Linked DNA regions of Caenorhabditis elegans. The protein of the gene in region 2 purifies or fractionates together with the protein of the main gene of each other region. This does not show direct contact. Each region holds a gene or a part of one and is shown on either strand. Other genes may lie near its edges.

Region 1 (4,033 bases), on a different chromosome or scaffold from region 2:
GGCCCCGCCCACAGAACCGTGGCTTGCAATACGCCCATTTCTGCAACTGCCGCACGGTTTTAAAACTGTATTTTTCTCAATAGAGCGAGAAATAACAAGAAAAAATAATTTTAAAACCGTGCGGCAGTTGCAGAAATGGGCGTATTGCAAGCCACGGTTCTGTGGGCGGGGCCAATCCCCCGAGTTGGTAATCCCCCCAATTGGACATCCCCCGAGTTCTTCGGGTCTCCATTTTCCACATCAAATAATAATTTGTGAAACTTGGGACTTCAAGCGACTACTATTATTGAGATCGTAGCGAGATTCACTCAGAAAAAACCAGCGTGCGCCTTTAAACTGAAGTTATGATACTTCTTTTAAATTTGAAATCAATTGTGATGGCGCGAGCAGAGAGACGAAAATCAAATTGAATTCGACGCAAGCCGAATTTTTGTTTGGGCACTTTAACAGCCTGGGAGTGAAATTGTATGTATCGACCCCTAAGGCGGAAACAGAAAACAACTTACAGGCTGCTCTAGACGCTGTAGTGGATTGGACAAGGGGAGCAAAACTCACCCTAAGCCAATCTAAGACAGTTCACGTCACAGTAGGGAGATGTAGAAAAGATTTTAAATACCACCTTGACGGTTACCCTATAGAGCGAAAAACAATTACCAGAGACCTTGGATTTCTAATATCAGAAAAACTGGATTTCTCGGAGTATTGGAAGAAATCTATCAATCTGGCGAAATTTCAGCTGGCCAACATTTTTAACCAGTACAGTACCTCCAATAAAAAACTAATGATTCTTTTATACAAAACTTTCATTCGTCCTCGTCTAGAATATGGAACAGTAGTGTCTTCTCCGACGAAAAAATCGGATGAGAAAGCAATAGAGTCTGTGCAAAACGCGTTCACTAGGCGCCTTTATAGTAGAATCAAAAAAAGGTATATTAATCCAACTGATAAAGATTACAAAACAGCCATGGAACGTAACGAACTATTCAACCTCCAAACCTTAAGCACGAGACGTAAAATAATTGACAGAATCCAAGTAATCAGAATGAATACTGGTAAAGTAGACTTAAAAACATCTGAGTTTTTTGAGCAACAAGCGACCCACACTCGTTCTAAAAAGAAATATGTCTGGCGCACAGGAAAAACTAAACTTAGGAGACACTTTTTTGTTAACAGAACGCTTTCTACTATGAAACAACACTGATCTGATATTATTCTTAATTTGTCCTCTTCCCTTCCACGTCTTGATCTCTCCTTTGAATATTCCCGATTTGCATTTCCTTTTGATTTTTTTCTCTATTGTGTTCTGTCTGTATTTTTTCTATTATTATTTTTTGCCTGTTGTGCATATTATTTTCACGACTAAAAATCGTAATAAATTAAATTAAATTAAATTAAATAATTTCCCCAGTTGCGACACTTCACCTTTTATTTCTCAACAAAGCATACACTTTGCCAATTCTTTGCAGTTTTCAATCGACTGTGGCATTTTCAGAAATATCATCCTTCAAGGTTGCTAACAGTTTTCAAGTTGCTCTAATAAATCCAAGAATAGTATTGTGAAAACTGCACTTTCTTACTCCCTTTTTCACAGAGTTTCTGATTCAAATAATTCGCAAAAAAAAAAACAAAAGGTTTGTAACAATCGGGGAGGATAACATGATGTTTGCTTGCCCACCACCACTTGCACCGCCACAGACACTTTTCACACATCTACAGTCCGGCTTCTCTTCTTGTTGTTTTCCTTTGTTTCTGGTCAATTGTTTGTACAGCGCCACGACTCCGCCCTATTTGTGAGAAAGAGCTGTCTTGCCCATCTCTGGACAATTAGTCTTCCTGAATCACACCTGTCATCCGGTGTTCACTAATAATATATTTTCTGTTGGTATGATCAAAAATATTGCCATTGTCAGTGTTGTCTTTTGTGCATTTGTCAGCACACAAAGAGCTCCGTCAACGGAAGTTATTGATGTAAGAAGACCTAAAATGTTTTGAAATATTATAAGTATTATCACATAAAGTTATTTCCGAATTCTTGTTTAGGAAGAATTTGATATTATTTCCCAGATCTAAATAATATTTGATTACTGTGTCACCTAAAAAACAAGATTTTCAGAAAATCCTCGGTAGTGCAGAAACAAAGACAATAGAGCAGATCAACAAAGAAATTGACAAGGTAAGTAACTAGAATCGGAAAGTGTTTAATTGACAAAATTGAAACTTAATTGAAACTAATCTAAACTTAACCTAAACTATATATTGTTCTGCTTCAATCGGCAAATCACATGCTATGGAATTTTCACTCACTACATCTAGACTTTTTTGACTACGAAAGTAATAATTTTAAACCTAACGAAAGCATTATGTTCTACGATTGTTCTATGAAAAAATTCCAATTTCACGGCGCTATGCGAACGTTATAAATTATTATTTCATTTTAAGAGATAATTACTGGATTTTCAAATTGTTATCCAATTTGGAACCTACTTACAATTAGTTCTAAGTTCACCGAAATTACTCAAAAAGTCCGTTTTTTTGGAAAATCTGGCAATTTATTAACTGCACATTTTGAAACACCTAACAAATTTTTGGAGTATTATTATGATATTCGGCCACGTTCGACGATGATAAGTTTAATTAACTTACAGCGCCAAACTTCCAAAAAAAAAAATTATAATAGCTGTCACAAATTCCATATACACTAGAATGGGAAATCTTACTTTTCTTCTCTAGCTGCTACACGCAAATTCAAAATTATTTTCTTTAATAGTATTTATCGGCTGCTTGTTTCACTATCATAGTTAAAAGAATAGAAACATTTTCAGTTAGTAGAAAAATTGGATGAAAAAACGAAACAGGAGCACAAGGCTTGGAAGTTGAGAGTGGAAAAAGATGAAAGAGAACGAAAATCTAGAATATTTGTGAGTTTTCAATTTTTATCTTAAAAAACTTATTTGAAAATTTCAGAAAGTTTTACCAAAACTATCGACACGAACACAACAAAAACTCATCCGAATAGTGATGACACAACAGAATCAAACACTTTCTGTTGGTGAAAAAGAACGAATTCTGAGGCATATTTCGACTTCAATGGATAATAATACTAAAAATGAGTTGGCAAGATTTCTCTCCGACAAGGATTTGTTTTCGTTAATTTACTGATTTATTGTATCATTGAATCAACTATTAAAAACGTTTTGTACATTTTTATTGAATTTGCCTATTTATTTTATTATATTTTGCCTGAATTTAAATAAACAAGCTCTAATTAATTGGCTTGTCAAATTGTGTACACGTAATTTTTATCCCGCCACGGTATTCAACAAAAAAGTTTTCTTCAATTTGGAGACTCAATTTATTTCCGAATAGTTCTCGAGAAGAAATAGGATATTTCGCATTTTTCCGAAATGTTACATTACCTGTTGTCGGTATTACTTTTAATATTTGAAAACGTAAGTGCCTAGACTTCTAAATTTAATAAAAGATAAGTATATTCCAGATATTAGAATTATGTATGTGTATTACATTGGTGATACTTATCTATTACTTCTGGCCTAGTAAACAACTCGAAGATGCTACTTTGCAATGTATGAATAGCCTTCGTGTAGCTTAACTTATTATGTTTTGTTCAGATTTCCCTGACACTACTCAAAATAGCTCGGAAGTGTTCATTGATCCGCCGGAGCGAAATCCAATATTCTATCCAATCAGTCCATTAAGACACAAGAAAAGGTAAAATAAGTTTTATAATCTACAGGGTTTGAGCGATTCTAGCTGCAATTGAGAACTCCCAATGGTTTTGACTAGCTGGATTCAAGTTACACGAACCCCTTAATATATGTCAGAACTATTCCTCAAAAAATCCAGCATATTGCAAATGTAATCTTCAAAGTATTGTAAAACTACAGATCAAGCAAGGAGGAGATGACACCAGATAAGAAACGAGACTCTAGTGAAAAGATTTCAAAGCAGCCTCCCAGAGAACTTTTCGAGCCAAACGAGCAAGAACAAGTACCATCACACATCAAACCGGAAA
Region 2 (5,487 bases):
TTGCGAAATGCACAGCTAAATTAACTGGATTCTAAAAATTGTGTAACTTTAAATTTTTTTTAAAGCGAGTACTTCAAAGTGTTCATAGCCGCAGTGTGGTCCATAAGCCACAGGGTGGTCTATAAGCCACAGGGTGGTCCATAAGCTGCATAAATGCTTGTGTAAATGCTTTCTTTATTTCAAACACTAAATCATGTTTTACATAAACCTATGTATATGAAAAACTAATTTCTAAGCTTAAAATGGATTACAAAATTATGGACTGCCCTGTGTAACTTCTAGATGACATCTAGGTGGCAACTTGTTTTCAAAAAATTTTTGTTCTGTATTCGGTAATCTCAACAAAAAATACGGAAGAATGACTCATACATTCCATTCGTGCTCCAAAAAGAAGGAAAAAGGAACTCGACAACTTAATTGAAGCAGAATTAATACGTCGGAAAAAAGTCCAAGTTTTTCACGTTCCACGGAGCATTATTGGCACAATTTTGAGTACATGCCGAAAAATTCTGTTCGGAAAAATTCCCAGAAAAGAAGCTAATTTGATATTTGTTTTATTTCAAAATTCAATTTAAAACGTATGCTTTAAAAATAATTTAAAGTTTGAACAAGAGTAATTGAAATACAAGTTAATATTTAATTTTGAACATCCTCGTTCCAAACAACAAAATATAAGGAGAAATCCATTGAACATAGGGTAGAAATCCTTCCATCGTCCCTAACAACATCCACTCTTTTTGTGCAATCCAAATCGTACTGATCGCTTCTGTAACAGTGATGTTATGCAGACCTATTGTAGTGCACATGCCGGAGCCATGTGTGGGACAATCGAAACCTTTGGCAGTTGCCTGAATTGCCAATTGTAGGAAAATACAAAATCTGGGATCGCCGGTTACCGGAAATGAAAGTCAGTCGACAGGTTCAAGTACGTATCTGCCAAAACTGTCGTTATAATGCAAAAGTGTCAGGCTTCACATCTAACAAAAAATTTTAGAAACTACTAAAACTTTTTAGAAATGTTGAGATATTTTTTGGAAAGTTTAAGAAACTTCAGGAAAGTTTTCGAAATATTAATTAGAAGTTTTTGAAATAAGTATGGAAATTCGCAAGTTTTGTTTATTTTTAAACGAGCCGAGAAAACTAATGTTGCAACTGTGAAAAGTTAAACTGTTTAAAATATACAAGTTTCAGAAACTTAAAATATAAAACTTTCATTTGGCTTTAAAAATTTCGGAATTGACAATAAAGTTTGGAGTTTACCAGACGGCTGGTATAATATATATGAATTTAAAAGACACTCACTTATATATTCTCGGCTGGCGAGTCAGGTTCCTCACTTTGTCATTAATACCATTTAATGCTTCTCCCCAAGGTAGTGCACTTTCAAAGGCATGGAGTTGTAGAATTCGGAAGTTTGGCAGATTGCCAGCTAACCAGTGACGAATGAACATATTAATATCTCGTAATGTCAATTTGTTCAACCATAGATGGATTTCTTCGCATTCCATGTTCATCAAATCTTGTATGGTTATTTTCTCGCCGTAGACCACTTTCAGTCGCGGAATATTTCGGAGCTGGAAGAATTTTTTAATATGCATTTTCCTTACAAAATATCTAGAAATTTTTACTTTCCCTGAACATATGAATTTTCCGCCACAATGAGTTTAATGAGAAATGTCAGAGTTCAAACTTGATAGGAACGGAAAATTACGCTGGATATTTGTAATAGTAAATGACTTTTACCAACGAAACTTGTAAAAAATTGTTTCTTTTGTGTTTTAACAGTAGAGTGCATCCTGCATGTGAAAGTTTGAGGCACACACCATTTGTATAAAATGTAAAATTACATAGTTAATAAATATCAAACCTGTTTCTGTGAACCTTTCATAACAATCAGTGTTTGAAAAATTAAATCCATTATTTTTATTTGGTTCACTCTCAAACATTGACTAAACTTACAAGTTGGTAATCGAAATCATCTGCCAGCTCACACCATGCATGAAATACACTTTTTAATGGAAATCGGTGATTTAAAGTGATCATATCTTGGTTGGAAAGTGCATTGTTTTTTCCATGAATCTCTAGATAGTGACATTCACGAAACAATGGATGATCGGCAAAGGATTCATCAGAAATTAGATCATAATCAAAATGAAGGTGAAGCTGTTGAATAGAAAATAGTTTGAAAAAATAATCCATTGTGGCTATGAGCTGATATTTCTTTCTGTACTGAATACATTCTATTCCGAAAGACTGCAGTTCGAAAATTCTGGAAAAAATCATTGAAAGGAACAAAAGAATTAACAAGTTGATTTTCAAAAAAATGACACAACTGAGACACCGTTCACAAATGGTAAAAGTTTTCACTGACTCAAAAAAAATGGTTTAGAATTTTAATTTAATGAACATACGAGAAAAATAACTCCCAAACACTTATTGGGTTGATCATCCAATGAGACGTGTCTCCTGTCTGACGTTCCAAACGTTTCAGATACTGTTTCAAATTGTGTTCACTGTCCAGAGCAATAATTTTTCGAGGTTTATGAACACATCGCATTCTTAGAAAAAAGTTTATCTTTTCAAATAATGATCTTCTACCGTGATAATACAGTTGACAGTTTTGTATCATCAGTCTGTAAAGTTTACGCTCCACTTGCTGCACTTTGAGTAATGATTTCTTAGAGGTAAAAGATAGTGCCAACCTGAAATAATTTTTGAAATGTTTTATTTAATGTGAGTTCACTTGAATGTCTGCTACAATTCACTAGTTTATTCGGATAATTGCGTTGGTTACACTTTTGAACAAATTGAAAAATTGCTATTTGAATAATACTTTTGAAATTCTAACAGGGAACATGAAAAAATGCCCAATTTGATCTTTTATTTTCAGTTTAGTGACGCTGATAGACAATTCAAAAAGCTAACTTACACTTCGAGAAGATTCATTTGAAGCACAACTTCTCGAAACGCGCGATGTGGGAGTTGAAGGATTTCTAATGGATTGCCCTGAACAACAATTATTGTTTGTGAATGCTATTTCATTTTCATGAAATACAGTTTCTAATTTGCTGTCAAATGATTATTTAATGAAAACTAAAAAAATTTGTAAAGGATAAACAAGATAACTCGAGCAACAAAAAGAAGACCTGCGTATTTCATGATTGCAGACGCAAAATTCAGAAAAAGTGCACTCAAAGGACAGCCACAAGCCCCTTGGCAACCGCAAAAACTTACCGGAAAAATTTGCCTCCTTATAAAACAATACGCTTTCCAACAAGCTCTTCGAATAAGATAAAATATTAACTGACCAACACCAACATAAACCATTAATAAAAGCAATTCGGCAAGCATATTAGATCAATATGAACAATGTGCCTCTTGTGCTGTGCTGTGTCTTACACTGTGCGAGCAGTTCTCATGGCTGGTGACCTCAATTTGGTGTAAACGCTATCTGGCCTTCTATTGCTCCTTAGCAGCCGTATAGTAGCCGGCATTTACTGAGAATGCTGTTAGATTGGTCTTGATTCGGCAATCGCGGTGGCAGCTGTCTACCAGTGAGTAACCATACTCAAATACATACTGTTTTTTTAGTAATGACAACAGGGTGGCCCATAAGCTACACTTGACAACTTAATCGAAGCAGAATTAATACTCCAAAAAAAAATCTCTAAAATAGTCTTCCACGTTTCACAGAGCATTAGTGGCACAATATTGAGTAGCAAATTGTTGCTATCAAAAAAGGGAAAACGGGCTAATTTAATAATTATTTTATTCCACAGCTTAATAAAAACAACATATAACAAGTATACTCTAATGCTATAAATATTTATAAGATACTTGGCTTGTCCACGAAGTGCTCAATAACAACGGCCCACAGGCCACCGGTGAGAAGGCCAACCATAAGAGTGCAAACGGAAAGCTGAGCGGCAAATCTTGAGTAGTGAGATGGCACGACGCTAAAAATTTAAAGATTTCCAATTTCATAGTAACAACCGAATTGTAACTCACTTTGGAGTGTATCCCATTGCCAGAGCGCTGAGGTATCCATGTGAAAAAGACATGGCAATTCCACCAATCACAAAAATGTCAGTAGACTCAAAGAAAACAGGATAAGCACGCGTCTGGACACGATAGTTGCAGAAGAAGAAGAATGGAATGAAAAGAGCACGCAAGATTATGGCAAATTTGAGGTAACGGGGTGTCGGCTGCAAATTTGTATGATATTCAAGCAATGTTATTTCTGAATTTCAATTTACCCAGTGAATCTTGGAAGCAACTATGGATCCAATCGCAGCGAACAAATTGAAGACGAGGAAACTTGTGAGCAAAGTGTAGATTTCATCGTTTTCAGACATAATTTTGTTTAGGAAGCCGGAATCTCCACGAGTGGTAACGGTCATCATAACAGGGAAGATTGTGAGAGTAACGGCAAAGCAGAACCAAACATTGAAGAGTTGCCCATAACACTGAAATTAGTCACACATATTTATTTTGAAGCTAATTGATTTTAAAAACTCACGTTTGTGAATGTGGTCCAAAGAATGGATGGAGACGGTCTGTCGGTTTCCGCCTTTTCGCGAATTTCCATTCCTTTTTGATGGTGATAGTGGTAGAAATCTTGCTTTGTGATAAAGAAAAGTGCAATTGCACACACCAGAAGGATCACCAACGATATGCCGAAATAGACGATTGCAACAAGTTTAGGCTCATCATTCAGAACTAAAAAATGTTATAGTTTTTAAAGCAATAAATTGAAAAATTACTTACAATAGGTCACTCCGATTTTCACAACCGTTATCAGCAATCCGCAAATGTTGTTTCCAATCAAGAGAGCGCCAATGTAGGTGTGCGGAAAATCGGCAAAAACTCCATAAACCGAGTTTTCATATAGCCCATTGCTAAAATTGATTGAAGTCGCCATTCCAAGAGTTACCCAGAAAAACCAGGACATGGAATCTTCAGTGGGCTCCAGAACAATGACGAGGATGAGAATGATTGTCAGGTTGACGATGTTGAAGCAAACCGGAGCAAAGACGCGGTAGATCAGGGGACCACTAAAAAATATTGATTGATTTTTGAGAGTTTAGAAGAACTGTAACTTACGCAATAATGAGGAACAGGTTGAAAACATTAATGCTTGCGTTTGGAAGTTGTGAGGCAATCGTCAAAGATCCCATGAATTCTTTCGAATACCATGTCTCCACGCCATCCGGTTTGAACCAATAATTCACATAATACTGAAACAGGAACTCTATTAGTGAAAATTATCTAGTTGCAAACCTCAGGGGCGATAGTAATGAACATATTCCATGGCAGAAGAACTCCGAATCCAACAAGAATGACGAGCCAGTAGACAATATTGTACTTGTCTCTTGGAAATGCTTCCTGCTCAACGGCATAGGTGTTCGATCGGTTGATTATTACCATTTCCTGTAGACAAGACATAACTTTTAATGAACTAAAATGAACGAAAAGGCAGCCAGACAA

What was found.
Region 1: the proteins of C46C11.4 (region 2) and M110.9 fractionate together in Caenorhabditis elegans (co-fractionation; one large-scale study listed by BioGRID). This does not show direct contact.

The regions. Positions count from the first base shown.
Region 1 is NC_003280.10:8,229,434-8,233,466, forward strand, and holds M110.9 (DUF148 domain-containing protein), read left to right. Parts: upstream 1-1,842; 5' UTR 1,843-1,884; coding exon 1,885-1,968; intron 1,969-2,113; coding exon 2,114-2,173; intron 2,174-2,822; coding exon 2,823-2,918; intron 2,919-2,964; coding exon 2,965-3,159; 3' UTR 3,160-3,267; downstream 3,268-4,033. Other genes in the region: nte-2 (Putative patatin-like phospholipase domain-containing protein M110.7), read left to right, coding at 3,405-3,449, 3,497-3,584, 3,630-3,729, 3,906-4,033.
Region 2 is NC_003284.9:4,643,768-4,649,254, forward strand, and holds C46C11.4 (F-box domain-containing protein), read right to left. Parts: upstream 3,438-5,487; 5' UTR 3,352-3,437; coding exon 3,235-3,351; intron 3,007-3,234; coding exon 2,930-3,006; intron 2,703-2,929; coding exon 2,412-2,702; intron 2,270-2,411; coding exon 1,960-2,269; intron 1,575-1,959; coding exon 1,303-1,574; intron 767-1,302; coding exon 637-766; 3' UTR 541-636; downstream 1-540. Other genes in the region: ent-5 (Equilibrative nucleoside transporter 1), read right to left, coding at 3,827-3,956, 4,009-4,205, 4,257-4,466, 4,520-4,719, 4,768-5,054, 5,104-5,237, 5,281-5,427.